Drosophila melanogaster: one gene and its partners. The gene in region 1 interacts genetically with each later gene. Each region holds a gene or a part of one and is shown on either strand. Other genes may lie near its edges. The genes, in order: gish, stan, dgo and so.

The links.
Region 2: of gish (region 1) and stan, changing one enhances a phenotype caused by changing the other (phenotypic enhancement), as found in Drosophila melanogaster (one study listed by BioGRID).
Region 3: of gish (region 1) and dgo, changing one enhances a phenotype caused by changing the other (phenotypic enhancement), as found in Drosophila melanogaster (one study listed by BioGRID).
Region 4: of gish (region 1) and so, changing one enhances a phenotype caused by changing the other (phenotypic enhancement), as found in Drosophila melanogaster (one study listed by BioGRID).

What each region holds. Positions count from the first base shown.
Region 1 is NT_033777.3:16,270,183-16,277,896, reverse strand, and holds the start of gish (gilgamesh), read right to left. Parts: upstream 4,897-7,714; 5' UTR 4,567-4,896; intron 3,746-4,566; 5' UTR 2,754-3,745; coding exon 2,728-2,753; intron 1-2,727. Other genes in the region: Mat89Ba (maternal transcript 89Ba), read left to right, coding at 5,563-5,601, 5,658-7,036, 7,090-7,200, 7,257-7,714.
Region 2 is NT_033778.4:10,670,250-10,678,057, reverse strand, and holds the start of stan (starry night), read right to left. Parts: upstream 4,714-7,808; 5' UTR 4,089-4,713; intron 1-4,088. UniProt on the Drosophila melanogaster protein: Involved in the fz signaling pathway that controls wing tissue polarity. Also mediates homophilic cell adhesion. May play a role in initiating prehair morphogenesis. May play a critical role in tissue polarity and in formation of normal dendrite fields.
Region 3 is NT_033778.4:10,813,939-10,823,248, forward strand, and holds dgo (diego), read right to left. Parts: upstream 5,947-9,310; 5' UTR 5,354-5,946; intron 5,166-5,353; 5' UTR 5,163-5,165; coding exon 5,103-5,162; intron 5,037-5,102; coding exon 4,611-5,036; intron 4,556-4,610; coding exon 2,258-4,555; 3' UTR 2,099-2,257; downstream 1-2,098. Other genes in the region: CG7222 (uncharacterized protein), read left to right, coding at 139-276, 345-653, 936-1,024, 1,091-1,172; Prosbeta5 (proteasome beta5 subunit), read left to right, coding at 6,135-6,281, 6,344-7,045; Lsm10, read right to left, coding at 7,247-7,672; RpS15Ab (ribosomal protein S15Ab), read left to right, coding at 7,875-8,267; CG12343 (uncharacterized protein), read right to left, coding at 8,645-9,310.
Region 4 is NT_033778.4:7,415,705-7,423,458, reverse strand, and holds the start of so (sine oculis), read right to left. Parts: upstream 4,110-7,754; 5' UTR 3,461-4,109; intron 964-3,460; exon of another isoform or gene 628-963; intron 561-627; exon of another isoform or gene 465-560; intron 1-464. UniProt on the Drosophila melanogaster protein: Required for visual system development. May transcriptionally regulate genes necessary for optic lobe invagination and Bolwig's nerve formation.

The DNA of each region.
Region 1 (7,714 bases):
AAAAATTAATTTGTAAAGGCTACAGACTATTTAATTTGTACCACCCGTTTTTCTTTCATTATGAGCAAATATGTGCGGGCTTTTCTATAGCTCACAGAGAGAGAGAAAGAGAGAGAGAGATATAGAGAGTGAGAGAGAATGAAACACCCCCACGCAGTCTCAACCACTCACTCACTTGTGGAGCAAAATATATAAAAAAAAAACGAAGCGATTGACAGTCGACAACAGCCTAATGACGTCACCGGTAAATAGTGCGTGATGTCTGTGTGCAAATGTTTGATGGGTCACTTGTGCTTTGCTTTTTTACTTCGCCGTGTTCGCCTTTACATTCACAATAATTCTGCTAAATCCGCAATTTGTCCTTGCTTTTATGGGGCACCACAGCTGCCGCTCACTGGTCACCCAGTCCATCGCCCGCCATTATCCTCTTGCTTTCGTTCGCTTTTCATCAGCGTTTTTCTTGTATTATTATTGGAGCTACTTTTCGCTACACGCAACTCGGCTTTCTTTTTGCTGTTCTTTTTGCCTCATTCATACAGTAAAGCTACCCTAGATTAAACTCTTAAATAAATCGTAAAATTATTTAAGAGGTACGTTTCTCAAGTAGATTTTAAAAAAATAATAACTAGAGATTCTTTGCTTCGTAATTTCGACTATAAGGCTGATTAATTTAAAACTATATTTTACCTATTTTAGCATAATTATGGCAGGCGTCCTTAACATAATTTAAAATCATGTTTAAATATATGTTGATACTAAACCAACAACGCTAGTTCGTGCTGTACGAATGACTGGTGGCAAGACTGGCGTGGCCTACGTTATGTTGGTTTTGTTCTCGTTTTTAACTGAGAATTTAGGTTATCCCCGTCGCCCCTGCACCATTCACTTGTCATAATAGCTCGGCTATTAAATAATAAAAAGTAATACAAAAAGTTTGTTTTTTATTACATTCGCTGTCTCCAACTAAAATGTGTGGAAATGTGAATATCTAGATGGGTGTGAGTAAGTTTGTTTTGTTGGCTAGCAACAAAATTACGTTAGTTTAGCTGGGTTAGTTGCTTTCCGTTTTCTTGTATTATGTACCGCCGGTGGAGTGGAAAATAAATGTTGTAACATGATTTTTTTTTTTTTTGCTTTTTCATACATTTTGTTGAGTAAACGTTAAAGAGAAAAGGCTCAATCACCACCAGTTGTGACCTAACCTAAATCTATTAAAACGGGTCATGAAACAGTTTTAATTTCACAGAACAACATTCAAGGTTCGCAGGACCAGAATCTACGTCTTCTGACTTCCCAGTTCTGCTTTTCTTATATAACTCCCAGAGGTCAACTAGAATCCCCGATAAAGGGTGCTACTGAAGTCCCCGGTTTCTTACCCATCTTGATGAGCGACAAGCAAACAAGTGCTTTGTGTGAGTATATATAGCTGGAAGACCCGAAAATGCAGACAGCAAACATTGGGAAGACCCAATGGCAAACATATGCGCGTACGTATGTATAAAGAACTATAAAAAACAAAAACAGAGATACACAGACACAGGAAGACTTCGGCCCAACAAGAACCTAGAAATGTCAATAAGCGAACACGAGGTAAAATCGTCAGCAACGAAAGCTTTGGACCCACATTCAAGGCTAAAAAGGCGGCTCTTCCGTCGGCCTGACACAAGGAGGCCGATCGACTGAAATGCCTATAAAATATTTATAATGTGCGTGAGTTGTGTGCACTTCGTTTCCCGCTCTCCTACACGAAAGACCGGTGCTATCTATCACGCACCCACATATGTATGTATGTGGGTATTATGTATTGCATTGGAAACCCATTTCATTCACCCCCTTCTCATGGCTCTTCTTCTTAGTTTGGCTGGCGTGCCAGAGGCGAGAAAAAGCAGACGCCATAAGCCAAAAGCAACAAAAACACTTGCGAAAATAAAATAAAATCAAACACACAAGTTTAAATAGAAACATCTCTTTGCTAAAAATAAAATCGTTCGGCAAAAAAGGCAGCTACAACTAAATCTGTTGCTTGAACTTTTGACAATGTACAGTATTCGCTAGGAAATTAAAAGGAATTAGCTTTATGGAAATTTATTTATGTTAAACGAAATAAAATTATTTTAAACCAGACTCATTTTCTTTAAAAATTCGCAGTTTGCATTCGTTAATATTTTAAAAAGTTTTATGAGTGAAAGAAAAGCTAGTTCTATTGGTTAACTAAGCCAACCAAATCAAAACTGTTAGGTTTTAAAACTTGCAAACACGCGTTTCCCGACACAGCCATAATCTTATCGCTATCAAAATATCCAACCGCTTCTACGCCTGATAACAGTGTACTGTAGTACCGAATATGGAACATTTATGAGAACAGACGTCGCTTCCGTAGATAGTGGCAATGGTTTTTTAGCACGGCTTATCAATGCAAAATTATAAATAGTCGCAAGCCTATGGTCTCTAGTCAAAATTTGAGTACCGCTTGGAGTTGGAAGGTATAGCTAAGGGGCGTACAAAAGATTCAGATTCAAAAGCAGGGATAAAGCCAGTGGGCTAGATTCGCTTATCTTGATTTTCGATTGACAATAGAAAACTATAAATGGGTTTCAATACTGTAGCCAAAAGCAATGCCAACTTAAATGGTAGGATTAATTTTTAATTTTTGAAAGAGTCTTAGAACCATTACCTCTTTATGAATTTGGGGGATAATCGATATACAATTACACAATCATAACTCACCTTGCTTGCCGTTCTCGTCGCTGCATTTCGCCTAGCTAATCTCGCTTGAATTTTGATCGCTTTTCCGTAATTTTGATAATGATTTTTTTATCGACTGCCGCTGCTGCTTTTGTTTTTTTTTTTCCAACGTTGAGGCTGTTAATGTTGCTGACAGGCAACTGGTTTGATCCGAAATGCTGACTCTGTTTGACGAACAAACTGGAGGATCTGCAGGATCTGTGGGATGCGTGCGAATTGAGCGAATTATCCTCACCGCCCACACTCACACGCATTCGCGCACTCACTCACACTCACTTAGCGTCCGCGCATGTCGCGCATGCGAACAACACACACGGGAGATCCGTCGCTCTCTTTTGCTCTTTCCCCCGCTGGACGACAGGTGTGTGTACAGAGATTGCCTCTCTCCCTCTGTTCGCTAGCTTACAGTTATTCCAGTTGTTCCTTTTCCTTCTCTTTCTGCTGTTGTTGTTGTTGTTGCTATGGGGTCGTCGTTGTTTGACATCAAGTATGAAATTTGAGCAGCATCTCCTTGAAATTTCAGCTTTGGTGCTATACTTTCCGAATTTATTTTATGTTTTTGGTGAGCTGTGTGGTAGTTTAGTTATGTGTTCATATGTCAAAAGGCGGGCTATTTGTCGTAGGACTATTTTCCTATTGTTAATCGGCTTTAGGTTCCGGTGTAAATTAGCCAAGGCGAGTGTATCTATGTTGTTAAGAATTAAGGAAAACAGCCTCGTGCTACGCTGAACAACTATGTAAACAAATAATTTTGGCTAAACAATTTGACAAACACACTTTCGCACATTTTATCCAACAATTTTTGTGACAACAGATCTGAATCTCCGAATTCATTCAGATTGTTGCTATGATATTTTTCCTCCCAGTTTTTGATGACATTTTAGGCAAAAGGGACTATGTTGCTGTTTAAATATGTAGTTAAATTTCAATTAAGGGAAATTTAACCGGTCAGTATCACGCCTAAACTTTTAATGCTCACGATCGTGGAAATCAAAGCAATCTGAAAAATAAGAATGGAAAAGTTAAAGCAATTGTAAAAGAGCTGAATAAACAAAATTGTAAACGTAAAGATCGGTCTTAATTCCAAGCGCTTTGAATGTTTTGACGAAAGATCATGTTAACTGATACAAAATATAAAAAAACTCATATTACCGACGATTTAAACATTTTTCATTCTGTATGGATAATAAAAATAGTAAATAGACTAATGAATGTACGAAACTGCGGTATTTCTTTTGGTATGTTAGGCCAGCCATAGCGTATGCTGGTCACACTAAAAGCACTGATGAGAGCGCTAACTAAATTTGTTTTTTTTTTTCAATTGATTTTCATTTAATTTAGTAAGAGTTACTATTGACTTTAACTTAAAACTTTTAAAGTCATCGTCGCACAAATGAAAGTTACTCTCTTCTAAAAGGTACCAAATTAAAATTTAGAAAATTACAGAAAATTAGGCTAATTAGCTGCCATGGCCACCGCGCCGTATAAATTGTTGGAAAAATCTCTGGGGCCGCAAGGTCGAAGTAAATATTTCCGTACGTGATTTCGTTTATTTTTATAAATTTTCAAGTTTTGTTATTCGATGCAAAAAACGAGCCAAGGCGGCGATGGCCAAAGACCCAAAGAGAATAAGAGAGAGAAAACCAAGAAAGGCAGAGGGGCAAAGAGGCAGAGAGGGTGTAACTACTCGACTTTTGGCCATATTTTTTTCAATGGGCCTCCTTTCTGCCAACGCATCATTTTATAAGGTTTGCTTTGATCTTTACGGAATGAACGACTTGTGGGCTTTATTAATTAGGCAACTTTTAACTGCCGATTTACCTTTTATACAGTTTTGCACGCATTTTCATTACGCCTCATTTTTCACCCATACACTCTCACACGCACGCACGCACGCACAGACACAGTTACACACGTTCGGACCGAATATTGAAATTTGCAACTCGATTTGCTACTGTGCGCTCGTCGATTTCTGGATAACAACTTAGTTCACTACTTTTTATAAATTAAGCTGGGCTTGTGTTTAACTGATTTTCTACGAAACAATCCTCGAAAGACCAAAAAACGCACGCAAGAGAGCACGAGAAAAATGGTGCGATTTTTTCCCCTGCCTGCAAACACACACACACACGCTTATACATGGACAGAGACGGAGTAAGACCGTATAGAAAAACGAGGGAAATACTCTAGGCTGATTTAATGCTGATTACTGGTAAAAGAAAAATGGGATAATTTAATTAGCTTTTCCCGTTTATTTTAAACAGATACTTATATACTTGTGCTAAAGACAGAACTTACCTAAAGCCCTCTTTACATAAAAGATGTTTAAACATAATTATGAAATAAAAATACTGTTTAAAATACTGTTGCTGGCGAAACCAATTAGCCGGTAAATTTGTTTATCTACTCTTTAAAACTGTATAGGCCCACGGTAATATCTTTCGCGTTTAACTGATAATTTGTTTTTATAATATTATAAATTTTATCTTATTTATTGGTCCTGGATCCAAGGATTTCTCGGCAATTGGTATAGACATTTACACTTCACATTGTCTAAATTTGTAACTTATTCAACAACTGTGTACCATGCAATATATTTTGCTCTAATTTATTTAGTGTATAAAACCTTTTCAATATTTTAATTATAATTACGTTCGACACTGTTTTTGCGGCTGATTTGGGACTAAAAAACGAATCTGCCCAGTTCTAGGGTGACCATACAAAAACCTCTAATGAAATACCGAATTCTGAAATACCGCATCTGCAACACGTGCGAGTTTAGCTCTCTCTCCAACAAGTAAATAAATTTTATATTATATGCGATTTGTACAGGGAAACATCATGCCAGGAAAGTTGGTAAGATTGTCTAGATCTTTATGGAAACTATTTGGCCTATAACATACTTTGTTTAGGTGGGCTCTCCGAAGGGAGCTGCTCGAACAGGTACCCAAGCAATTGCACATGCCGGGGATCACAGCGACCTTGATGAACCAAAACCCAAAATCGCCAAGAGCGACCCACCATCCACTGCCATACCAAAGAAGAACAACTTCAAGCAGAGAGAAGGTACCAAGAATGTAAAGCCGCCCACTTTGGAGGAGATGAAGGAGCTACGAGACACCCAAAATCTCTTCCACTCCAATCTCTTTAAGCTTCAAGTTAAGGAAATGCTGGAGGAGCTGCAGTTAAAGCAGAAATACACAGATTTCATTGAAAACTGGCTTGAATCCTTTACGGCCTTTACCCGACAGCTAAAGGATGGCTTGATGGAGCGTACCCACTTGGAAGTTCCAATGAAGCTTTCTGAAAAGCCGACCGGATTTGTTTTCTCCAAGCCCACCAGGGAACCTTATCTGATCGGAGCCGCCGCCACGGGCACTTTGCTGGGTCCCAAAATTGTAGTGGATGTGGCCCTGGAGATGCCAAAAGAATCCCTGCACAAAGAAGATTACCTAAACCTTCGCTATGACCAGAAGCGAGCTTTGTATCTTACTTATGTGACGGAGAGGATGATGGAGTCCCCAGATTATGCAGAAGATCAGTTTAATTTCAACTACTATGCTAACAACCCGCTTAAGCCGGTTCTGGAATTGATCCCAGTTACTAAGCAAGTAAACAAGCACCTGCAAGTGCGTCTGTTCATCACTGCCCCATTAAGCAGTTTTAAGCCAGGCAGATTTGTTCCCTGGAACAACAATATTCGGCCCTCGTTTTACGGTGACGAATGGGACGAGAAAGATCCGCTGCCCTCCACCCAACACTACAACGCAAACGTACTGTTTGATCTAACTTTGTCCGAGAACCAGGCTCAATTGGATAAGGCCTTTAAGAGCAGGCGTAATTTTCAGGACGGCCTGCTGCTCCTTAAAGTATGGTTGCGTCAGAGGCAACTGGACATAGGTTACAGTGGGTTTGGTGCCCACATCTTAGCCGCTTTTATTGTGTACCTAAATACGCAGCGCATTCTGCATCAGTCAAGCAGCAGTTACCAAGTGGCACGCACTGTATGGAACCAACTGGCGAACACGGACTGGACGAAAGGCATTAGCCTGTCTGTTGCTCCCATTCAAACGGAAGAATTAAACAAGTTTGCCGAACACTATGACGTTTGCTTTATAGACTTCACTGGACAGCATAATCTATGCGCAAATATTCCGCTTTACCTGTATCAGAGAGTTCGAGAGGAGGCCAAACTGGCGGTGGAACTACTGAACGACATGAAGCTAAACAGTTTCCCGCTTATCTTTATGCAAAAGTGTCCACTGTACAGCAGGGTGGATAATATCTTAAAGTATGTGAAGCTAAAATGTTAGTTTTTCAATTATAAACTTTATTTTTCCCCAGGATTTCCAATTATTCATGCATAAATCAAATGCTTACACTGCATTCGCATCCTCGAATTAAGTACGATTTTGCTAATTATGGTTACCCGCAGCTGCTACATTTACTGACTGAGTGAGTTAACTAAGCTAAACAGGCAACTTACAAAGAAATAATAATCATAACTTTAGGCTCCTTAAAAAGGGACTTGCTGAACGTGTCCACTCCATACTACCCTTAGAAACTGCGACAGCCGCCTGGCCTGTGGAAAAAAAAGCGCCCGTTATTGGGAAGTATATTCAACTGGGCCTTATACTTCAGCCAGAGCACGCATACCAGGTGTTAAACAAAGGACCTGCTGCCAACGATGATCATGAGGGAGCTGAGGAATTCCGACGGTTCTGGGGAGAGAAATCAAACCTACGTCGGTTTCAGGATGGCAGCATCACAGAAGCTGTGGTTTGGGGGACCGCCCAGGATTCACCCGCCAAGAAGCGACTAATTGTTCGCCAGATTGTGCTGCATCTATTGGAGCATCACCTACAACTGGACAGCAAGGAAGTACAATACATTGGCGGCGAGTTGGACCAAGTCTACCAGCTGTCTCCTTGGTTTAAGGTCAATAAGCTAAAGACCAAGCTGCCATTGG
Region 2 (7,808 bases), on another chromosome or scaffold:
TTGTTTAAAATCAAATTTCTGACTATTTCTTTCAAATATTTTAAATAATAATAGGCTTATATACAACCTTAATAGCTATGTTATTTAAATAGCTAAAAGGCACTACTATATGTATCTGGGCCAATAAATATGAATTCAATACATTACATGGCTTAAAGACACAGGAACATTTATCAAATTTATTCGAAATTATTGATTGCCTATAAACCGATTAAATAAATTCTCGCCTATTCATTTCACAGTTTGGCCCAAATAGCAATTGCAGAATAAATACCTTTAATTAATAGATTATTTACAAAAGTTTAGCTGCAATGCAATCAATATATCCGCACTTTTAAGGTAATTATGTTGCATTGTAATAGTTTTACTCAGAATAATGAGAACTTAATTTTCAGGTGGTAGACAATTAAACTTGCTAATCAATTTACGTTTGATAACTAATCTTCAATCGGCGTATTAATTTGCCACATACATATATCGAATTTGAATTGAAGGCAAAGAGTTCCGTCCCAATTTAAAGTGACTTATTCTTCCTAATGAGAAGCACAACGTCATTCACTTAATTTGACAGCCCGATCTGCCCGGCGGCCTCCATACGTGCATCCGCCCACCCAAATTGATAAGTCTAATTAATGCAATTGAAACAAATTTCTAGCATGCAAATCGACGGCACGGCACACATCTCTGGGCTCCCTGGCGTTTGGGCATACTCTGGATGCTTGGACATGCCTCATTAGCCAAAGTGCCACAAACTTTGGCTCCTCTAATTGAATTAACACTAATGAGGTCTCTCGCACACTCTCGAACTTCTGAATCACCCGATGCCGAGCTTGCCGATCCCGATTCCAGCGACGTGTGAATTCCTATTCCCCATCTGCAAGGGAATGGAACATCCTTTTTGCCACATTATTCATGCATTTGCCAACCGCAACCCAAAAACCACCCGCTCTACTTGACGTGATAGTGAATTTAGCAAAAACTAAAAACATCGTTTGGGGGGGGGGGGGGGCGGATGCGCCTGATGTGCAGGGCTGTCAATCAATCAATTTGGGCATCCAGCCATGGACAGGGTTGCCACCACACCGCTTCGGTTGCTTTGAACATGCGAGATTTTAGTTTGCCAACGGCCAAACAAGCTGTAATTTCATCGAGCAAGGACACTAAATTCCAGATTCTAATTGACGCATAAATATGGTAAATTCAATTTGTTTAGTTCATACAACTTCTGAAAGCCGGCATTTTATTAAATATAAATTAAATTCATTTTATTTCATGTTTTTAAGACATGGTCTTTCGAGTAAACAAAATAAACGTAAGTCAATATGGAATATAACAAGGCATTAAGCTTTTGCAGTTCAAACTTAGATATTTCATTGAAAGAAAACAATTTCACATAATATTTTTCCTGGGCATTGCGTTGATAGTTGATAGATAGCTTTTCGGAGCTAAGTAAATATTTAATTGGTATATGCTTTCACAGCCAGCATTCATAATTCATTTCGTGTATTAGACTTTTCCACCTGTTGAGCATCCGAAATACAATTATTAACGAAACCAAATCAATATCTAATTTCAACGGAGGAGCCCAGAGAAACATAGCCAACCAAATGCCATCAATCATGCGATAGACGCCGCATGACATAACCTATCCAGCTGCGTCTGGATTTGCTTCCATCTGTATTTGTATATGTAAATGTATCTGACTGTTTTTTTTTTCGGCTGTATCTACGGACCACTGCTGCCGTATAAAACTGAACCGTACGTGTGTATATGCATCAATTAAGCTTTTATTCTAACATAACAATTTTGAATGTGGCCGAAACCAGTTTTGAGTGCGCGACCAAGAGGGCCGATGCCTACGCAGAAGTATCTCATGGATAGCCGTGTGAGTAGTGGCCAAGAGAGGCCACCATAAACCCACAAAAGATACCGAAAAATGTGGACCATCAACGTCATCAATGAATCTCTGGTGTGTGCACACGAATTCGTCCAACTCCATGCCATGCAAATCTCATTTGGCCATTGGCCCTCTGATTCTGTAATAAATTCCACAATAGACTGTTGATATTTTGATGGACTCAAGCCGGTCACAAATCAGCCACATTAACTGGCACGAGACAGCATTCAAATGTTAATTAATCAAGAGTCATAACGAGTTTTCCTATGCCGGCATGGATATCGAATGGATTGACTGAGGTTAGTTCGCCGTGCGAGTTGGCTATTCGCAGTGAATGTGGCATCAGAAGCCGGAAAAAATCACCTTTTTCGTTGGCTCCTTGGCCAACTGAAGTCTTAACTGATCACTTCGAACTCAAAAAAACAAAAAACATAACCAATGAAAAACAGGTTGCGGCTACCGAAGAAGAAGAGGATGCGTTCTGGTCAGGATGATGGCCCGTAGCGGATCTGCCTGCCGGTGGTGGATTGCTCCTAACCTGGCCGAGACAGCTGCAAAACCGCGAAGAGAGCCAGGCGCTAACAAACTCATTTTAAGCACGGTAAAATATTTTATTTACCTACTTTTTCTTAAATTTTATTCAAGTAATTCCTCTACTACAACTTAATCTTTATATCCGCAATTATTTGATTTCAAATATAAATGGATTAAACTCATTCTACACATATTTCAAGAAAACAGCCTATTGTAAAAATTAAAGGATAACACCTTAAGCCTTTAACTCTTAATATTAATCGTCTTATAAAATATAATAGAACGACATTTGATGTTTTTGTGTGTAACTAAACTTGGATCACATAATTAACCTAAGTAAATAACTTTTTTTTCTCTGCACCAGCCGCAAGAAGAATGGGAAAAGGTTGGTAACACGCCGAGAAAGAGAGACAGAGAGAGCTAGAGAGAGGCAGGGAGAAAGGGGTCGAACGAGGAGCAGTAGCAGAAAACCAGTCTTACAACAATTTTTCAGCTACTTGCCACTGGCAGGCTCAAAATGGACTTGACTTGACTCTTCCAATTGCACCAAACACACCGCATTCCAACTAGAAAATCATAAAACATAAATGTGCGAGAGTATCTGGCCCCCATCGAAATATAACAAAGGCCCTGTTAATGGCCTCGAAAATAAAATCTATCTTAATAAATTGGCAATCCGACAAAACTGAGTCGAGTGAATAATGTATCCAGCAGATAAGTTTGTCCCGGCCTGCTGAAATATTTATGCGCCAGACAAAGGGCGCAGAAACAAAGATACAAACGCAATGGCAAAGGCAAAATCCCATGGACAAGTGTGAAATGCAGGGAAAACAAAGCACTTGCAACGCTCAGATACAGATACATTTGTATCTCGTGCAGGCATTTGATTCCACGATTCCCCGATTCCGATTTCGGTTATGTTTTGACCCAACTCTTCTCCTTTCTCTCCTCGCGCTCTCCGCGTTTTTGACCCACGTTTTAATGTGACTTTTATTGTGCTTCCTCCTTTTGTTGTCTCATTTGGTATTCAGTTTAATGTTTGTTTAGAGCTTCGCGTTTGTATCTTTTTGCGATGGCTCTGAACTTTAACAGTTGCACTGTGTGAGCGTCGGACTTCGACTTCGACTTCGGCCATCGGCCAACTGTTTGGGCCAACTGCTAATTGGAGATGGCCAAGAAAGAGGCCTTAGGTTTAAAGGCCCAATTGGAGCTCTATTTTATTGCCGAAGCCCTAGAGCTGAAAGCCGTTAATTAAGAACGTCTTAAATCGAAACATTTCAGAGGTAGCCAGAACCACTAAGCGTCTTTCCATATCATATAACAAATAAAGGTTCTAGCAATATTTCATACAGGCCCCCATTTATATGCAGATACAAAATACTTTTCTAGAGCTTATAACCCTTTGAAAATATGAATTACGCGATTCCGCTATGGCGTAAGCCCTTAAATACGAAGTTTATCTAAGAGATTTAAGGCCACGCCTGCGGAACATATAGTGTCCTGTTGGAACGACACCTGTCATACGTCATGAATCAGGTGTCATGCGTCGCACAATTCCCATTAGAATGCAGCCGCATCCCGCCCACAAGGACATATGTATATGCGCGAGCACATGCACATATCCTTGATATATCCTGGCTGGAACGTGTGAACTTACAGGCTTTTGTTTGCTCTGCCGCTGAATTTCCACGCGTGGGTGGCCAATAATCCGCTTTAGCTGCACGGCTGCATTGTTAAATATTTATAATATTGCATTTAAAATCGCGCATCCGTGTTGTTTCCTCTGCGTGAATCTTGTGTTTGTATTATTAACACAATATATTATAATTAGCACTCGCCAGTTTGTGTGACTGGCCTCACTCTAGAGCACTGTTTAAACTGATTTAACTATTTTGATTCCGGGAAATTCGAATAATTCGAATGCTAAACCGACTATAACCCCGACCGTTAAGCTGGGCGGCTAAAAAAAGGGGGTGGTTGTTGGAAAAGCCAACGCACTTTTCTGAAAACAGCAGGCGAAGAAAAGACCGCGCGCTAAAATTCACTGAGAGCGAGGATTGTTGTATGTTGTGTTGGCGAAAAACCGGTAATTTCGACCGTCGAAGTTGTTACTTTGGGTTTGCGTTTACCTCTGCCTTTTGGCTTTGCACTTGCCTTTGCATTTGTCTTTGCTTTTGACTTTGCAGAGACGCGCACGCGTAGCCCCGAGTGAAAAATAATACCGTTCTTGCTGGCCAAACGCTCAAAACGCGTCCAATCGGTCCGGAGTCGCAGTGGTAACTGGCAAAACCAGAAACAGAAACTGAGTTTCTTGCTAAAACTCAGTTGGAAGCCGAAGCGAGTTCGTGTATCCGATGGATACTTTCGTCGGTGGTGGATTTTCTGCGGGGGGTGACTGCGTGTTGCAGCAACATTGCCGCGACTGTTGCAACATGTTGCGGCAGCAGAGAGAGGTGCCACCAAATTTCGGTTTGCATCCCCGAGCATAAAAACGTGCAATTTGATCCAGGATTCTTCAACCTGTAGGATATTCAATCTTTGGAAACTTCGAAAGTCTTTTTCTTATCAGTAAATTAGTTTTGCAGCACGCTTTGCATGCTCAAAGATTTAAATCGACTCAATTTATTAAATGTGATATTTATATAATTTTACTACTATTTATTAAATAAATGTTAAATAAATGTGTTATCTGTGCATCGGGCCAACACCTGTAATCGGAATTAGTTTGCGAATCTAAAGATGGTGGAACATTATCCCTTACGGGTAAAACTTGAACATAAAATTGCTAACTTATAAATTTACATGTGGTGTATTCATTTGTTAATATTAATAAATAATATTCCATATAGCCTAGTTTTTGTGTCCCACCAATAATAATTCATTTTCTGTTGAACGCCTTGGTTTGAAAACTAAATAAACAAACAAACATATTATTTGGCATAATTAAGCGATAGTCTAAATCAACGCAATTTATGTTCAGAAACATAATATGCTAAAAGTTCACTGTCAAAACCAAAAATGTAGTACACCATTAAAACCGACCAAATGACCGTTTTCCATGTTATGATGAGGTTCAAGTGTCAAGAGCTGTTAAGTGAATAGTTTCAATTACGAAGCCATTAGGGATGAATCATTATTCCAATTGGGATCTATACATAGGTATGCCAGAAATTCGCATGTTCCTGCTTGCCATTCGATTAGATTTCAGTTTATCGAATTATGCAAAATATTTAATGCAATTTTGGTTGGCAGAATTCGGCAGCAGTGATAAACATATGCTGGGACCCAGAAACCGAACAAGCTTTTGGCCCACAAGGACAACAGTCGTGGGTAATGGCTACGCTGGTAGATGTATGTATGTGTCGGCGGAATTTATAGCTTACAGGAAGGTGTTGGCCAAGACATCGTCGTTTGGCCAACAACTCGCATTTGGCCAGCTGACGTGGTCCGAATACTTCCGAATAGCAACGAATCGAAGGGATTTTGGGAGGAATCGAAGGAATAGGAGAATAGGAGACCGAAATGGGGGTTTCTTGCATGTAATTGACATTGGCCCCTTGCGTTTGATTAATTGCATTTGGTTGAGGCTCTTCCAAGCCATTGACTCGGAATGCTCTGAATTCCCCCATTGATCTGTATCCGTGTCTATGTAACCTTGTGGCCATGTGTAGCTAGCTGCATCCGTAATCTGTAACCGTTTCAATTTGTATCTGTGTGCTTTTTGCGGGGCAATAAATTCGACATGTTCGACATGCTTTCCAATTACTGAGCGCTGGCATTAAACAAATGCAGCACACTTGACACACGTCGAAAGCCGGCAGCCCTTTTCGGAGATCGGAGTTGGAAGATGGGTTATCAGGAGGGAACAAGGCCAAACCTCCACGATTCAGCGTGTCCAGCCAAGCAGGCCAAACACTTGGAAAAATATCACTTCGAGGAATTTTGTTTAAATAAGCAAAGTCCGATTTTTGTATTCAATATAAATAAACAATCTGAGAGTAGTAAAAAAATATGTAAAATGCACTCAACGTATCAGCGTCTTCTTGTTTATGTGGCACATTTTTGTTTGGATTGAGTGGCTATCCATCCATAGTGTCCACATCTTTCTCTCTCTGCAGGACGAAGACACTTGTCTCTGCATTTGGTTTATGCAAGTGCCGCCTGCGAGCGATATAAAAACGCAGGAAGGGGAGGAAGGCGAAGGGGTTTTGCTGCCGCTTCACTGAACCTCAATGTGCGCAAGGATGAGATGGGAGGTTGGTTAGTGGGCGTAGAGGTCAGGGTGTTCAGTGGGTGGCGCTGAGTGGGGGGGGGGTTGGGGGCGTGTGGGATCGGAAGAAACATAACTCAACAATGCAAAGGACGAGCAGCGGGCAAAAAGCGCAAAGCAAGCCAAGGAGCCACAGGCTGCATCTTCAGAAGGAGCAATTTGAGCGTTCTTTCGCTCGACAAACGCTGCCCATGCATAGTTTATGATCCCCCCTCTCATATCTATGCATTTTGCTGAATTAAACCAACTGCACAGAATGTCGCAGATAATTCAATGCACCTACCTACACACAGCACAGTTTTATGGCTCTCATTGTCATCCCCGTTCTCGTCCTCGCAGCGTTATCCTGCAATGTGGAGGAGTCGAAAAGTGCCACGAGGGTAATTTAAAAATCCATTTGTGTTTTGAGATTTCGCCGGCAGGACCTGGGAGATGTAAGCTGGCCAACAATTGCGGTTAGCGGTGTGTAGAAAAAAATACGGGAAAAAAAATGAATGAAATAGGAAAAGGCATGCTGGAAAATTGGCGAGTGCGGAAAATGGAAAATGCGAACGTCAAATGCCCGACTTGACTGCGTGACACAATTTCAATTTGCATTGACAGCATGAATTATAGCAAATAATCCCCGCCGGCAAATGCGATTTTAGTGATGCCAGGAGCTTCAGTTTTCCAGCTATCCAACTTGCCAGTTTCCCAGTTCTTTCCGACCCAGGTCAAGCTATTTTCCTGGGAGCAGGGAGCCGGGAATTCGAGGTCCATCTGTTATTGATATGGAAATGATGCGCACACCAAAAATAGAATGCCGCTCGAGGAAAAACAAGCAATCTTGCAAAAATAAAGCAAAGCAAAGGACGCGACTCGAAATGAAATAAAATAAAACAGCGGCAATAAAAGCAAATATAATTTAAATTTTATGCAACGGCAAGGAAAGTTAATTTTGCCCAACAGAATGGGGAAAAAAACGCAAAAAAAAGGGGGGGCAGATAGCTACTGGAAAAGAAAGAGAAATAGAAAAATAGAAAAGAAATTGTGAAAATTGTGGAGAGAGCTAATGAGGAGAAAGCCAAAAGCACAAATATGAGTGGACGATAGATAACCAAAAATTCT
Region 3 (9,310 bases), on another chromosome or scaffold:
TCATTTAAAGTGGCTATAGTACATATGTATATACACACTTTTAACCAGCATATGCTTGTGAATCGAGATTAATCAAAGGCCCTGCATTGCAGACTTCATATACTTCAAGCCCCACAAAACCAACGACGCATTTAATCAATGTTCTCCAACGGATTGCCGTGCAATCTGTCGTTTCCGAGCTGTCTCAGTGTACCAAAAGACGAGATCGGTAATGAAGAGCTACTGCCATCCAATATGGGTACTCGCGAGCCTGTTATACTCAATGTCTACGATATGGTAAGCTTACTTACTCCTGTTGCCCATGCGGACATCGCACAACGATAAATGTAACCTTGCATTTGCAGTACTGGATCAACGAGTACACCACCTCAATCGGCCTGGGCGTATTTCACTCCGGCGTAGAAGCCTTTGGCACCGAATTCGCATACGGCGGACATCCATTTCCGTTTACGGGGGTATTCGAGATCTCACCGAGGGATCACGACGAGTTGGGCGATCAGTTCCAGTTCCGGCAGAGCATCCAAATCGGCTGCACCGACTTTACGTACGAGGAGGTGCGACGTATCGTCGAGGAGCTGGGTAATCAGTTCCGTGGCGACCGATATCATCTCATGAACAACAATTGCAACCACTTCTCGGGCTCATTAACTCAGGTGAGACATAAATCGAGGAAACTTTCCACTGGGTGGATCCAATATCAAGCAATATTTTGGGTGTGCTTATGCATGATTCACCGATTGTCAGATACCGCCTGTTACAATCAGAAGTTCTTATTGTGAATCACCTCAAAAAGTAGGACAGATTACCATCCTAAACACGTCCAATACAATTAGATGCTTCCAAACGATTCGAGTTTAGGAGCAAGAAAATGCAAGCTTAAAAGCCCAAATGAATATTCATTTGACTATATCTGCAATTCCAATTACTCGTTCTAGATACTTTGCGGCCAAGAAATACCCAGCTGGGTCAATCGTCTAGCGCATTTCAGCTCCTGTGTGCCATTTCTACAAAGATGTTTGCCAAAGTAAGCCTTTCTAAGTGAAACAAAAGCCAAGTTCATGATTATTAACTACTCTATGTTGTTTTTTAGAGAATGGCTGACACCGAATGCCTTGCAGCAAAGCATTACCACAATCCAAGAGCGCGAAGACTCCGACAACAGTCCCCTTTGAGACGTTACCTGACCGAAAATATGTCACTTGGCGACACACAAGCGATCATAGTTCACATAAAACAACAGTCCTGAGACCAACATTGTTAAGTTACGCAGAGCAAAAAGCCGGGTTACTCATGTCACATCAATTTCCAAGCCAACAACGCCCCCTAAATAGAAAGCAACAACTATTATTAATAGACTTAAATTAGGCGATATACATATACATACTTACATAGAACAAACCTACATTGAGACATACTTATACATACATGCGAAGTGACTAAATTATTGGCTATTGTAATTTGTATTTGTAATATGACTATTCAGAATTAAGATATTATTAAGTGGCCGATAAATTTAAGTAGCAGGCGCCGTTCAGCAGCAGTGTCATTTATAGAATTTTAAATTAACTACGAAGACATCGAGAAATCATCATTAGGCACTTGCTAAAATTGTACTAACAATACCGCAGACATATTGGTGAACGATATCAAAATGTTGCCCAATTTACTTGTTTACTTTTGTCAGCGGTGGGGATTTGGTTTTTTTGAATTCCCACCAAACATCGGAGCTCGATTATTGAGATGATTTCCTGGTTGATTTCGTTTACACAATTATACAGAGTTCATAAGCCGCATGTCTATCAAAACACCAAAATGATCTGTTATCAATAAATATATGTACTTGACATTCTGATATTTACACATGCATAAATACTATTATTAAACATTTTTAAAGAAAAATATATTTTGATCGAAAACATTCGGTTGCGTTTGATTTACAAGCGAGCAGGTTGGAACGTTTTTAATATTTTGGGTATTTTTGGGGTCAAAAGTGGAATAACCAAATAATTAAGTACACGATATTCTCATAAATTACGCAGAATATGAAAACACTCAGACCCAAAACTCCTCAACAAAAAACAACAAAATTATTGTACATATATCTTTGTATTATATTTATATATTTTAGACCCTCCAGATTAGATGCATCAGTTGAAAATAAGTTAACTTTTCTTTGTAGTTTAAAACTTGATTACAATTAAGATAAATATGTAGGGATTAGCTATGTACAATGGGAACAGCTGTGGGATTACCGAACTCAAACTAGACTCGAGACATTGTTGTAGAGGCCAACGGCAGACAGCTCGTCCAGATCGATTTCATTGGATGGAAGATTGGGATGAGGCCAGTTCCTTGGCCTTTGATTAACATGGGGCGGCACAATGGCCTGAAAGGTGGGGGACTGCAGAGGCCTATAGGCTACCGCATCCACGTAGTCCACTTGTCTTGGTGGAGCATTTGGATGTGGAATCCTTCCCACGTAAAGATCTTCACTGCGATAGAGACTCGCATTTGGTACGTAGCCGGAGTGCAGCCTTCTCTGCGGAGTTTGCGGAATCGGTGGACGGTGGGGCAGTTCATGGAAGTAAGCATCTTTGGGTATGTGTCTCTCGGGCAGCCCAAACTGGGCGCTACTCCGGTGGGGAATACTATACGTGGGCGAAGGGTTCGAAGAGGTGCCCTCCAAGTGATGGAAGTTATTGTTCAAGCGGGAGTGTGATCTTGCGGCGATCACATGTGCCGTCTGGGAGTCCTGTCGATTGGAGTCAATGGTGTTTTGCAGTTGGGCCACCATATCCCTCACCTGACCAGCGTTCGGCTTCTTTAGGCACTTGATTTCACTGTTCCGAATCTCCACCTTACTCATACTTTCATTGCCATTTTGACGCACTTCTGTTTCCTCGGCGTACTCCATGATGGGATTGGAGTAAAATAAATTCGACATGACGGGATAGTTGTCTTCCAAGCAAAGAGGCTGCCGTTTCATCAGATTGGAGATACCTGCCGCCTCGCTCGCTTGCTCCTTGTAGAGCAGCTTGTCGCCTCCCATTCCCTCGGCAGTTTCATTGACAGCCGTCTCCTCTTTGCCCAGATCCGCGAAGGAGGCATCTTTTCGAAGCGCCTTGATCACCGAGTTCAGCATGTTCTCTCCTCTCCCAATGCGCTGGTAGTACTTATTGTAATCCGGGTGGGGATTGCTGCCCGTGGGTGATGCCTCCCAGTCCCAGCTGTTGGAGTTCTGGGAGGGATTTGAGGTCTCACTGGAGTTCGGATAGCGTCGTATCACGTTGGCGTACTCGTCGAAATTGGGACTATTAACACTCTCTTTATCTTCTCGAAGTTGGGCAGACTCCGCCCTTGGATGGGGATTATAAGGTGGCGATAAGGAAGAAAGCTGGCGCTTGCTCTCCTGTTCGCTGTCCCTTTCCATGATCAGGGTGGTTTTCTCTAAAAGCACTCCCAGTCTTTCGGAGACTTTTAGGAAATCTAGCTTAAGTTCATCTAGCTTCGAGTGCTCCTCTGGTTCCGCCTCTTCTTGCACCTGGTCCTTGTCACCCACTTCTGCCTCTTCTTCATCCCGAGCTTCATTGGAATCGTCATCGCTGTCGCTATCCACCTGGACCTCCGCTGATCGGTGTACTATAGCCTCCACTGCCTGATCTTCCAGGACATCTACACTCCGTGAGTTGGTGAGCCTACCACCTTCGTGGTTGTTTTCCAAGAGCTCTAGACTGCGGCACCTGGACATTGTTCTTTCGATCCTTGAGCTCTTGTTCTGCTGATCGAAGGTGGACCGCATAGGTTCACCTCGTCGCAGGAACTCACTGAGGTGCTGCCTCTTGCTCTCGCATCGCAATCTGTCCTCGATCATCGTTCTTGTGAGCTGTTCAATCTGATCGTTCGTCTTGATTGCCAATGCCTGAACTTTGTGACCTAGACGTTCCTTGGTTTTGTGAACGTATTTCTTCAAACTCTTTCGATTGCAATTTAGTTTGTTTTCAATGTGACGGAAGAAGGGACCGCAATAGCATGTGTTGCCCACGCTGACCGGACCCTTGTGAATATGACCAGCCAAATCCAGGAAGTATTGCTCCCCCGACTTAAGTGGCTCCTTGGGCAGTGTCTCCAGTTTTGGTGAAGGAAAGGCACGCGGATCGGGAAAGTAGTGACAGCCATAGGGTGACCAGTTGATACCCTTGTCCACCACATCCCTTTCACGATCTCTGTCCTTGTCCGATCTGCTGCCGCCCTCCTTGGGTTTCTCCTTGCGATTCCGTATCTTCTTCGGCGTGTTCAGGATCTCGATGATTTCACGGTAGTTCTTCCTGATCGCTATGTGCATGGGGCAGTCGCCTTGTGCGTTTTTAATGCCCAGCCGAGCATCTGCCTCTAGGAGAATCCTTGTCAGCTTCCTGCGACCCATGGCACAGGTGATGTGCAAAGCGGTGTCGCCGTTCAGATTTGTTTTATTCGGATCGCAAAGGGCGGAGAGCAGGATCCGGGAGACTCCTGCATGTCCATATCTGCAGGCGGTGTGCAGCGGAGTATCTCCATACTGAAATTGTTAAACATGTTAAACATGGTTATCACTGATATGATCCAACACTTACATTATTCCGGACATCGGGATCGGCGCCGGCCAGCAGTAGCTCCCTAGAGCTCTGATTGTGACCATTTTGAGCGGCCAAGTGCAGGGCGGACAACCCTTCGTTGTTGGCAATACCCAGGGCGCTATTGTGTAGGGCTTCGATGGTCTGGTGGGCCACCTTCACTCTGCCCTTGTTCTTATCCTTGTCTTTGTCCTTCTGTCCCTTTGCTGCTTTTCCCACCCCCGAGGAAGCGGGTGGCGTGGGGGGCGTGCAGATCAATTTCACGCAGCGACTGAACCCCCGACTGGCGGCCTCATGGAGCGGGGTATTCCCCTGCACGGATTCCCTGGCCAGTCGATCAGCATTGCTGAACAGGAGACCCTCCACCCGGCGATCATCTCCGGCGGCTACCGCCTCGTGCAGCGAAGTCCAATTGCTGGAGTCGGGCTTAAATCAGAAAAAGAAGTTACATCGGTGTAAGATTTGTTGGTTCAGGCAAGTGCCCTTACTTACCCCGGATATCGCATTCGGGAGAGCTTCCTGTTTCGGAATGCGGGAGGATCCATGCTGCATTGTCTGCGAAAATATTCATTATTTATCAAATTTGTTAAATTATAATTTCATTCATTTATCATGATGTGTTGCAATTATAACTTTTTAAGTAACACTTTATCAAAACCAGATAAAATTAAAAAAATTATTTATATTAGAACTACATTTTGTCTTTAATAAATGAAAAATCTTACTTAAAGTACCGTAATTACCGTTAGAATCGTTTATATGTCGAAAATCATATGAAAGATGGTATTCTTTGATATAACCTTGTTGACGACGAAAGAGCTTAACTTGACCTGGGATCAAATGAATCTGATCTTCGATCGCACATTTTCTAGCCGTGTATGCGCATGTATGTGTGCCTCACGTAATGGCGTACCACGTAGTAATTGTCATTACAAATAGAAGTGGGAGTTACCAAAAGCGATCAAATAAAGGACTCGTAATTTGAAATACAACCTTTTTGAGGGTAGATTAAATGTCTTTCATTATAACACATTGATAAAACATGTATGGTTTCTTAAATGTTCAACACTATTACAGTAAATTTCTAGACCTGAAAACCAGGTTTAAAGTGCGCCTAGGTTTTCTCGATTCCCGACTTACTTTTCACTAATTTTAAATCCCGTCTTTGGACCGCAATTTACGCATTGCAATTCGCCACTCTCACGTATTTACACATGTTTACTTTCGACTATTGTTCAGTACCCGACTTTGCAGTATTTGGCCATTGATGGATTGATGGAACGCCCAGAGTTAATTTGGCTTCAAGCCAGGCCTAAAAAGAGACTAAAAGAAAGCCAATCACAGGCAAAATTGGCAACAGGTTTCGAGCTGGGTTGCCGTACCTGCGACAGCTAACGGTGAAGCCGATAGTCTGCATTATTGCTCCAACAGAAGTACGGTCACTCTACAAGTAGGCAACGAATTTTGTTTGTCATCGGCATTTCGCATTCAACGTTTCCAATTGTTTTTTAAGGAGCTTTAAGAATGGCTTTAGCTGAAATCTGCAAGATATCGAATGCTCCGTACATGCGGCCCAATGCCTGGTCATCGGCGGATGTGGAGGAAGAGCAAAAAGGGCTTATGTGCAATCTGGCCAATCCCTACACACTGGCTGCTCCGCCATTCGAGAACGTATGTAGTTAATTAGCTGATCTTCTTGGGAAATTTACTAAAAAATTTGACAATTTCCTCAGCCCCTGCACAACCTTAATCAGATCCAGGCCAATGGCGACAAGACCGGCGTCAAAATCAACTTCGATCACGGCACCACAACGTTGGGCTTCAAGTTCAAGGGCGGCGTTCTCCTGGCAGTCGATTCCCGTGCCACGGGTGGATCGTACATTGGCTCCCAGTCGATGAAGAAGATCGTGGAGATCAATCAGTTCATGCTGGGCACCTTGGCCGGTGGCGCAGCCGATTGCGTTTACTGGGACAGGGTCCTTTCGAAGGAATGCCGCCTTCACGAGCTTCGAAACAAGGAACGCATCTCGGTGGCCGCCGCCAGCAAGATAATGGCCAACATTGCCCACGAATACAAGGGAATGGGTCTGAGCATGGGCATGATGCTGGCCGGTTACGATAAGCGTGGTCCAGGCCTCTACTATGTGGACTCCGAGGGATCTCGCACGCCTGGCAATTTGTTCTCTGTTGGTAGTGGATCGCTGTACGCCTACGGTGTCCTGGACTCTGGCTATCATTGGGACCTGGAGGACAAGGAGGCCCAGGAGCTGGGACGTCGCGCCATCTACCATGCCACCTTCAGGGATGCCTACTCCGGTGGTATCATTCGCGTGTATCACATTAAGGAGGACGGCTGGGTAAACATCTCCAACACCGACTGCATGGAGCTGCACTACATGTACCAGGAGCAGTTGAAGCAGCAGGCCGCTAAGTAGAGTTTTGATTAAGGGAATATAAGATATTCAGTTTGTATACGTTTGAATTTCTTGGAATAAATAAACGTGCTAGAGACTATGTTTTGTGTATAATTGATTGGGCTAATTTGTTTTGCTTTTCATAGGTTTATTACTATAAATGTAGTTGTATGTATGTAATGTATTTTTGGTAAATATAACAAGTACGCATATATTAATAGTTTAGGTTTCCTTATTCTTTTTTTGCTGTGAGATCATTTGCAATGTTTCCTTGTGTCGCACTTCCGCTCGTTTTTGCTTGAATGTCCGCTTTCCGCCCTTGGTTTCCACTCGCTTTCTTCGCAGGACTCCCCGTTCCATTGCGCTTCGAAGTTCCTGCTCGGCATCCAAGTACGAAGGTATGTGGATCTGCCGTATCATTCGATTCCGCACCATAAAGTGATCAAAGGGGTGCTGACCACCATTGCGATCGATGAAAACTGCATGGGTGAGCTCGCAGGTCATGTGTCCATCCGCTACATCGATGATTCCGGCCACAGAGGTCTCGTTGTGCAGATCGATCAGTACGGAATGACCCTGCAGCATCACGGGCCAACAATTTAAGGTGTTGGACACCAAATACTTCTCCCGCGCACTAAACTGCTGCATTATATCGATATGTTTAAAAATAAGTGTTTGCTCTTGGACACGGAGCTGCCAACTCGCTTCATAAGTAATTTGACATTTTCATTAATTAGTTTTGAACTACATCTAAGAGAAGTACTTACGGAAGTTTTCAAGTAAAGGTTTTTTCCCTTTTTCACGTTTGCGTGACGGTCGTGTAAAACAGTTTTGGCAAACAAATCCAGCTATGGTGCGTATGAACGTATTGGCCGATGCCCTGAAGTGCATAAACAACGCCGAGAAGCGTGGCAAGCGGCAGGTGCTGCTGCGTCCCTGCTCCAAGGTGATCATCAAGTTCCTGACCGTGATGATGAAGCATGGCTATATCGGCGAATTCGAGATCGTCGAGGATCACCGTGCCGGCAAGATCGTTGTCAACCTGACCGGTCGGCTAAACAAGTGCGGCGTCATCTCGCCCCGCTTCGATGCGCCCATCAACGACATCGAGAAGTGGACCAACAATCTGTTGCCCTCGCGTCAGTTTGGTTACGTTGTGCTCACCACCTCTGGCGGCATCATGGACCACGAGGAGGCTAGGAGAAAACATTTGGGAGGCAAAATTCTCGGCTTCTTCTTCTAGAGACACCAAGTTCACATCGTAGAGGGATGGAGTTTGATATGTAGATTGACGTTTTATTTCACCGACCATGCATCCAACTATGTACTTTGTGCACAGGAAACAAAGGGCGAAAACGCTACTACGTTCATTCAGAAAACAAACGACGATGAATGTTCACAAAGTTACGCGAAATAAAATGAAAAATTTGGACATCTAATATCGAAATAATGAGTTTACTTTTTAATCTTCCAGCTTCAACATTTCCTACGTTTAAACTTTTATGTGTAAACAATTGGACGATTGTGTGGTATTATAGGCGAATTTCATGTAAACTGCACTTGCAAAAATTATACGTGCACAAATTGAACTCTAATCTTAAGGGTAATAAAATACTAAACTTAAATAGCTGTTCCCCGCTCCAAATTTTGTTTGATCTCGGCTGTATGCTCGCTGTAGAAGCGGTCCAGCTTTTTGTTGAACTTGGAATTCCTCTCGTTGATGAAGTCCACATCCGCATCGTCGTTGTAGATCCTCCTGCGAGAGTACTTCTTGCGGCGCTCTATCTGCTGCTCCAGGTCTGTTACCATTTTGTTAATAGCACCTGGAGTGTCCTTCGTCCTCGAATGCAAAGTGGTGTGTGCTCCACCGTAGAAGGCGTCACCGAGTTCCTCCTTCTGGCGCTCGTACTTTTCCAAATCGCGAGCAGGCATACTCTTGACCAATCGGTTGTACTGTCTAGCTGTTTGAGCTTCGTATGTGGAGAAACCAAGATCTGGATTGTCTTTACGCTTCTTCTTTTTCTCAATGCGATCCGCATCCACAGCGGATACCTCCAAAAGCTTCAAACGCTCGTAATCCTTGCCAGCTGCCTGCGCCTCGGCTCGCGCCTTGTCGTCCGCTAGTATCCATTCCGCCTGTCGCTTGCGAGCCTCCCAGTTCTTGGGGAGCTTCTTGCGAGCGTCCTCTGCCACCACTTCCTGGTGGTTGTCCGTACGCGCCTCCTGGCGCTTCTTGTGTAGGTCCAGCAAACGCGCCTTGCGCTCCGCCAATTTTTCGGCAGCCGT
Region 4 (7,754 bases), on another chromosome or scaffold:
GGCAGCGACGACGACGACCATGCCTCCGCCGCCATCGCGAGGGAGTGAGCGAGAGGCGCGAACGTATCCCCCAGATAGAATATCTATGAGGTATAGACGATGTTTTCACATTTCAAAACAATGCAATCGATCTGTCCGAATAAACTGATATATGTAGATATATCAGCCACAGATATCTGCGTATCTAGGCCCCTCCCCCCCCCCCCCCACAAAAGCTAAAGCTAAAGATCGGGCTATATGCACACTGATTCTCGTGTATCGGAGTCGAGATATTCTTGGATCTGCTTTCGGTTTCAGTTCTCGTGTGTGCCGGCCAGATTATATATACAAAAAAACAAGGAACAAGAAACAAGAAAATAGAGATTCGTTCTGGCTGCCGCTGTAACGAAAATACCAACGCCAAGTTGGCTGCTCTTGAGTCATCGGCCTAGGCCAGATCCCCCGCAGCCGCCGCCTCGCCGAAGATTTCCATCGATTCGATTTCTTCAGCTCGCTGCGATTCTTCTTTCTCCGCTGCTTGTATTTTGTATTTTCGATGGCCTGTTTCATGTTTGACGCAAGTAAACAAGCAAAATGCGAACGTGAAACGCAATACGCGATAAATTTTCAATCTGTTTTGGCCAACAGCAATCCAGCAGTTCAGTTCACAAGTGGATAATATTCGATGGACACAATGCATTCTGGACATATTGCCGAACTATTAGAGCCGATTTACGCCTCATTCGATCGGATTCTGAGCTCTTCAGCCACATTGGACCATAGCATACTGGCATACCAAGGTTTATGGCCCTGTACCGTTGCACGATCCCAAGTGGAAGTGGAAGTCCCTGCCCCAAAACGAAGAAGAACACCAGCAGCTACGACAGCAGCGGCCTCGAAAGATATTCTATCTGTATCTTTTGGCTGCCTCTTCAGTTCGCCTTGTGGGAGATCTGTTATCGCGCGCCTGTAGCTGCCTGACTTTTGTGGCATTCGAATAAAATTAATTTAATTTATTTTACAAATTCTGTAATTTATTATCTATTGGTTTCTGTTTCTGTATCGTGTTTGCCCCATTCCCCTTCCCCTGTGCTTCTTCCTACTTTTATAAGATTTTAATTTGAATGTCGTGGAATCCCTGGAAATCTGAAAGCGGACACCTAACTCTATTGGGCTGTTAATCAAATTGAATTGTTCGAGCTGCCGTGGCTGCAAGCGTTGTTCGCCTAATTAGTTTGTAATCAAAGTCAGCTTACGATTGACTTGTTGATGGATTCGATTCAACTCGCAGGGCAGTTCCAAAGCCCTAAGTCCTAAGTGCACTTCGGGAACTCTGCAGGTGAAGTGTGCCCCAGCTCGAGGAGCACCCAGCTCAACTTGGAGCATGGTGCCATCGCAATCGCAAAAAGCACAAACAGTGCGCCTGTTTCTCGCGGCTAACACCGAAATCATCTGCTCCGGCGTCTGTGTTTATACAATGTAATCGAATGGGAATGGGATTGAGACTGTGACTGGGGATTGGGGATTGGGGATTGGGGATTGAGGACTGGGAAGACGTGTGCCATGCAACCTGTTGTGGGCCAGCCCCCGTTCCGGGTAATTCGAACGGCTTTCTGGCCGCTGGTCGGGATTAGTAAGCGCTGCTGCTGCCAAACGGTCGAGACAATCGCTGCTATCCGCCAGATACTATTTTTAACATTTTCCGTTTAATTGCCGCGTGAGGGAGCTACGCACAAAGAAATCGAATAGAGCGCGGCGCAATGAATGAAATTTGTCAATTTAATGGGTTGCACACACATGTGTCTCTGCCTCCGCAGCCGAATGTATCTGCATCTGCATGTCGGCTGCTTTTCGCCTTGCTGCGCCGCATTTGCCAAACTTTGAATGAAACTGAAGTGCACTGGTCGAAAGTCCCGCCGGTGGGGAGCTCGTCCCCAAATTACGACGGATTCTGCACGCCGGTGCGTAAAATGATCAAAGCTGCTGCGGCCAAACTTGCGTATCTGTATCTGTTTCTGCCCGAGTCCCGAATCTAGGCGAATGGAATGCGCAAATTTGTCAATTTGGCCACTTCCGAGATGGAATCCACATGGCTGGTATCTTGATGATCCGAAATAGGCAACCAGAACCGTACGCAACATCTGCTCCCATCTCTGCACTCAATTAATCATTCGACTTCTGACGACAAACACGCGTTGGCCAATTCGTTTAAACGCTCCCAATCCCCCGAATATCGCAAATATCGAATTTAGCCGGACAAAAGTGGGTCCACGCCCACTCATCCTCACACGAAGTACAAAAGTTGTCGGCCAAACAGTCGCTATAGTTAATAATTTCATAAATTTTGTGGCGAGAAACGAAATGATAAAGCCAAATGGTTTCATAAATAAACACTGTGTGCGTTGGTTTCGAGCACCAAACGGTTGGAAAGCCTTTGCGATGAATGAATGACAACTGGAAACTACTTTTCCTTTGGATCAAATCCATCTCATATCTTTTCCTCTAATTAATAAATACATCTGAGGTGGGTGGGCCGTTGAGTAGCCAACTTGGAAACGTGGAAAACTTAGAAAAAAATTGAGCGGTGAATAAAACAACAGAATTTTTCTTTTGGTGTGTAAACAAGTTTCCTTTCCAAATATAAGTGAACATGCAATTCCCGTGCTTTTGCCTTCGTTTCGATTCCCTCAGAATTGCTTCTCAAGTGCCTCGAGTTGGTTTTCCGATGGCTTTTGGCCATTTGGAATTCGCCAATGCCACGCCGCCAAAAAGCGAAGTGCACTTTGGCTCTCAGCTCTCCTCATTGAAATCGGCAAAACGTTGTGAATCTATGGACTTCGATGATAGATTGATCCATTAGAAAGCGGATAGAGATACGCCGTGACATTTATGGACTGCATTAATGTTTTCGCTGCACACGCTTTAAAGGCTATTTAAAGCACTAAAATATATTTTTAAATGAAGTCTTCAAATAGGCAAAGTGATTGATACTTTCTCAGAGAACTTTAGGCTTTTCTAATCAAGAATAACGCTTTGCTGTAAGTTCCATTTTAACCGTATGGGATGTTTAATAAAAGGTCTATGTTCTATGATCTTATCTATAGGTGATAAGTGATTTCTTGAACATGTGGTTAGTTCTTCTAAGGCTTAGTTTGACCTATTGAAATTATTATTTTTCTGAAACTTTTGTATATATTTATGGTTTTATAATTTTAAGGTTCCAATATGGAAATGTATAATCTAATATTAGCTATATTTATTCACATAATCGTCCCGAAATTTATCATAGTTATTATATCTCCTTTTTCAAGTATCAATGCCAATTTTATTTTAAATTAATCCCCCATATACCATTCGTTTTTCTTATTGTGAAAGAATATCCGTCCTACTTATGCATCTACATATATTTTTGCCATGGTTTCTAGTGTTCCACAGTAAACTTTTGCCGTCGGCAGCATGAAAACTGAATCTCGCTGCTCACCTGTATTTTGATTATTTATTGTTGATACGTATCCGAGTTTGTTAGTTTTTGTTTGTTACTCTTTGTTTGGGTTTGTGCCTTTTGCCTTGGCTTTCCGATTCGACTTGTGCTATATCCGCAAATGTTAGAGTTGGCCAAGAAGGCGCTGATTTCGGCTGTGCGGCATTTCCTTGATTTGCATTTTGGCCAAACTCTTCAAATCGAAGCCATGTGCCGTTCGCGCACGCACACACTCTTAGTCGCGATCACACTGGGCACTAACTAACACAAGCTTGCCGTTGAATATTGCTCATACGCACTGTGCGAACACGTGTTGCAAATTACTTTTCGCGAAAACTTCGCTGTCCTGCGCGACTCGGACAAATTGCACCTGCAAATTTGGTGGGCAAAGCTGCGACGACAGCACTGAGGCAGTGCCAACAAAAAATGGCCGCCCGCGGATTGATTAGCTCAATTTTGCTCGCTTTTCTCTCGCTTCGTGTGCGTTTATGTGGCGCGATACTGATGCGTTCATTCAGGAAACACGCAAATTAAATATAACTTTGTGCGCGGGACGTCAAAAGACCGCCGGATCCGGCCTGGATTACTAAGCGAGCGACGTGGGTAGAACGGGCAGCGAACCGCACGCGACGGAATCTCGAAAACAACTGAGAACTCTCCGGTTCTCAAACCTAATCGAACCGAAAACGGCCGAGACAAAAGGCAGAAAATGGTTGGTGCCGCTGGCGGTGTGCGTGCGCCAGAGCGAGATGGCCGACTGGTCGTGCGAGTGTGTGAGTGAGCGAACACCAAGGGGGTGAACTGCACAGTGGGATGCACCGACACTTTGTGCGTCACTTTCCAAAAACGTTATAGGAAAATAATGGAATCAAGTGAAGCGAGACTTACATTCACTGACTTTTATAAAGTCACTGGGCACACACAGTTCATGATTACACATATATGAACTGATGATAACTCAGAATTCACTACGTTTTAGTTGTTTTCAATATCTTGCCTTTACAAGTGTTTTTATTTTTATTCTATTTTATTTTATTGTATTCTAATGTTTTCGTAGTAAGACATAGTACATTTTTCCGTTATTATATGCTATTGTATCTTCAAAACATTAGAAAATGGTTTTATATATTTTTAAAGTGGCTTACAATTAAGTTAAGTTAAGTTAAGTTAATTGGACAAATATTTTTATAAACGTGTAGCCATTGAATTTGACACACGGTGCCAATCGACAACAGTTTGACAGCCACTGCGAGAGGGGCAGCGTGCGAAAGAGCGAGAGAGCGCATAAACAGGTTGACCGAAAGAACGCCCCCTCGGCTTACCTGTTCGCACACACACACACACACACACACACACATAGATGCCCTCACGCACACCGGCGCACTGGAGGACAGCAACGTGCTGATTGGTCAGCGGAAACGCATGCCAGCAAAAAGGCATGCGCATTGGGCGCCATATTGAAAGGCGGAAATCGGAGGTGATTGCAACTGCATCGCTGCTCCTCCCCAGGAACTCCTCATCCTGGCTGAAAGGATGCCCGGTGCAATAGCTGCCATCCTACAATGCCGTTTGAATTACTCACCGCAATAGTTCCATGCATCTCTCGTATAATTGCAATTACTGGCCTTTTCTCATATTCATTCACTCCACTTTTTTGGTTTAACTCAACCTTGTGGTCCTTCCACATTAGTGCGGTTTGCATTGTATTATTTAATGATTCCGAAGGAGATGAAGCCGTTTGGTAATTGAAGCCAACTAATTGTGTTAATGATTTACTAATATATTTAGTTTACTAAATATTTACTATATACACAGGCTCCTTTCGTCTTCAAGTCCTTGTTCATGATAACTGAAATAACTTGAACCTAATTTAATTTCAAACTATTAACATGATCTAGAGACACCTGTACAAAGTGCAGCGATGCGTTCAGAATGCCTAACTTTCTTTTTGAATACAAATAGTCAACTTAAATCACAGAGTACTACACTGCTTAGTGAATTTTGTAGATGGTAATTAATGTAATTAATGTAAATTAATGTAATTAATGTAATGTAACGCTAAATGTATAGAAATTAGTCAAAGTACCTGTTGTTGGAGGAACCGCTTAGACAAATGGTATTATTTTCAGCACTTCTTTATTAAAATTCTGTCCCATTTATCGGTAGCTCGATCTCAGCGTGTGCCGTGAAAATCGCATCGAGGACCACCCAAAATGCAAATTCGGAAACGGAGCTGGGAAACTCGATCGAAATCCAACAAAGATGATGGACTAATGGGGCGCCAGGCCGGTGCACCTAATCAAGATCGGCAACTGCCCACACAGATCAGATGCCAAGTGAAGATCCATACCGCTGGCGATTTCAGTATCGTTTACAGCGATCGATAAGGTTTTGGCGCCAGGCCTCGACAGTCACCGATAGCCAAAATAAGTGTTAAAAAAATTAGGAAATCGTAAAATTTACATAATAACAGATCATATTTCAATCGAATTAGAAAGACAGACGGCAACGACAACAGTTGGGAATGCCAGAGGGACCAGAAAACACATAAAGATGGCCATAAAACAAAGTTGGATGGAGAGGCAGCGATACGGGATGCCACAAAATGTTAATGAAAAAGTGCGATAAAAATCTTGTCCAACATGAATGAGAAAAACGAGGCAAGCAGCCCAACAACAATGCAGCGATCAACACCACGTTCTGCGGTTCGAGATGACCCCCGCCTCCTCGGAGAAAGGGATGGAGAAAGTCATCTGTCTGATGGGGGGCCCTACAAGCCCGAATGCCCCGAACTCCATTATTGGTGTTAAGAATGAAGACAATAACGAGGCTGGCACACGCGCCCCTAAACTCTCCGCCGGACACCTGCTGTGCGGACCAAACAATGAGCCTCCTCCTCCTCCTCCGATGACGATCCCTCCACTCTTCCACCGGACCCGGTGCGCCTCACTCCTCACTCCACACTTCAGACTCCAGGCGCCCGAGGAGCCGGGCTGGGTTATGGGGCAACACTGCCGCTTATTAGAAATGGTAAACAAACAGTCAGATCGTGTTGAACTTTATGGTCCTCCATGCCGGATCGTGCGCACATTGTTAATCATCTGGAAGTGGCCATAAAGCAGGCTCCTTCACTGGCCATTATTAATTCGCTTGAAATTATTATTAATTTTGCGCCATAAATCTCGACACTGCGTGAATCGAAGACCTTTTGTGGTACGTGTGGGTAATTAGCTTTCAGTTCGTCGGGATTAGTTGCTCATTTGCTGGGCTAATCATCAATTTGGGGCGATGATACTCCGTTAGTATCTGGACTCAATAATATATTTCAAATTTTCTGTTGCTTTGTATTGAAAAGCATAAGGTTGCATTTTTCCTGATAAATAAAATAAATAAAAAAGGAATTCATTAAAAAGTCCAATCGAAATCTATAAAAATCAAGGGAAAAATCCTTATGTAAATTTTTTGGGATACTTACATGTGTTCCTAAATTTTGAAAGACACTGAGTTGGATGATTTTGACGAGCAATTAATCTCTGTTATTTGAATCACCTTTTACCATTTAATAACAGAGTAGATTCCATTATTATTTCCATATATTTTTGTTTATATCTATAGTAGGTATTAAATATTCTCAATTTCTAATAGCTAACCGCAATACTTTGTTTAAAGTTTTAATGAAAGGCACTTATATTTAGGGAACTTATTTTATAGTTTATATTTTTTACGTTTATTTACTTTTCAAGCCTACAGTTCACGTTTATTCGAACAGTTAACTAGATTAATAGTGATTGATGTAAGATTAAATAAACATGTGCAACTGTTTTCATAGCACCTTAAATTGATTTATATCTAAATTTTGCACATTTTTCTTAGCGTCAACCAGGTGATATCAAGGGAAATAAATATTTTACGTTTAAGGTGGGACTTGACTCATAACTCATTGGTCTCTTGAAACCAACTGTGTTGCTGAGCTCAAGTCAAATTGAATCCCAAACTATCGTACTTTCCAAACTTTGTGTTTGTTAGAAACCAGCATGCCATTGACCCCATCTAACCCACAAGTTCTCCGTACAAAGGGACTCCTTGCACCTATTTCTTGCCACCACCACTGCCCACCCAACTATCCACCGGAAATTTAAAAGTTCTCTCACGCGTCCCTTGGCGATCGCCGTGCAATCTCCTTCCGATAATTGGCCGCCAATTCAATTACGGACTTACATTCACTCGCTGTCGCCTTCGCGGTGGCTGGTGGTCGGGGGAATGGCCACATGCAATTGCCTTGTAATTTGCCACA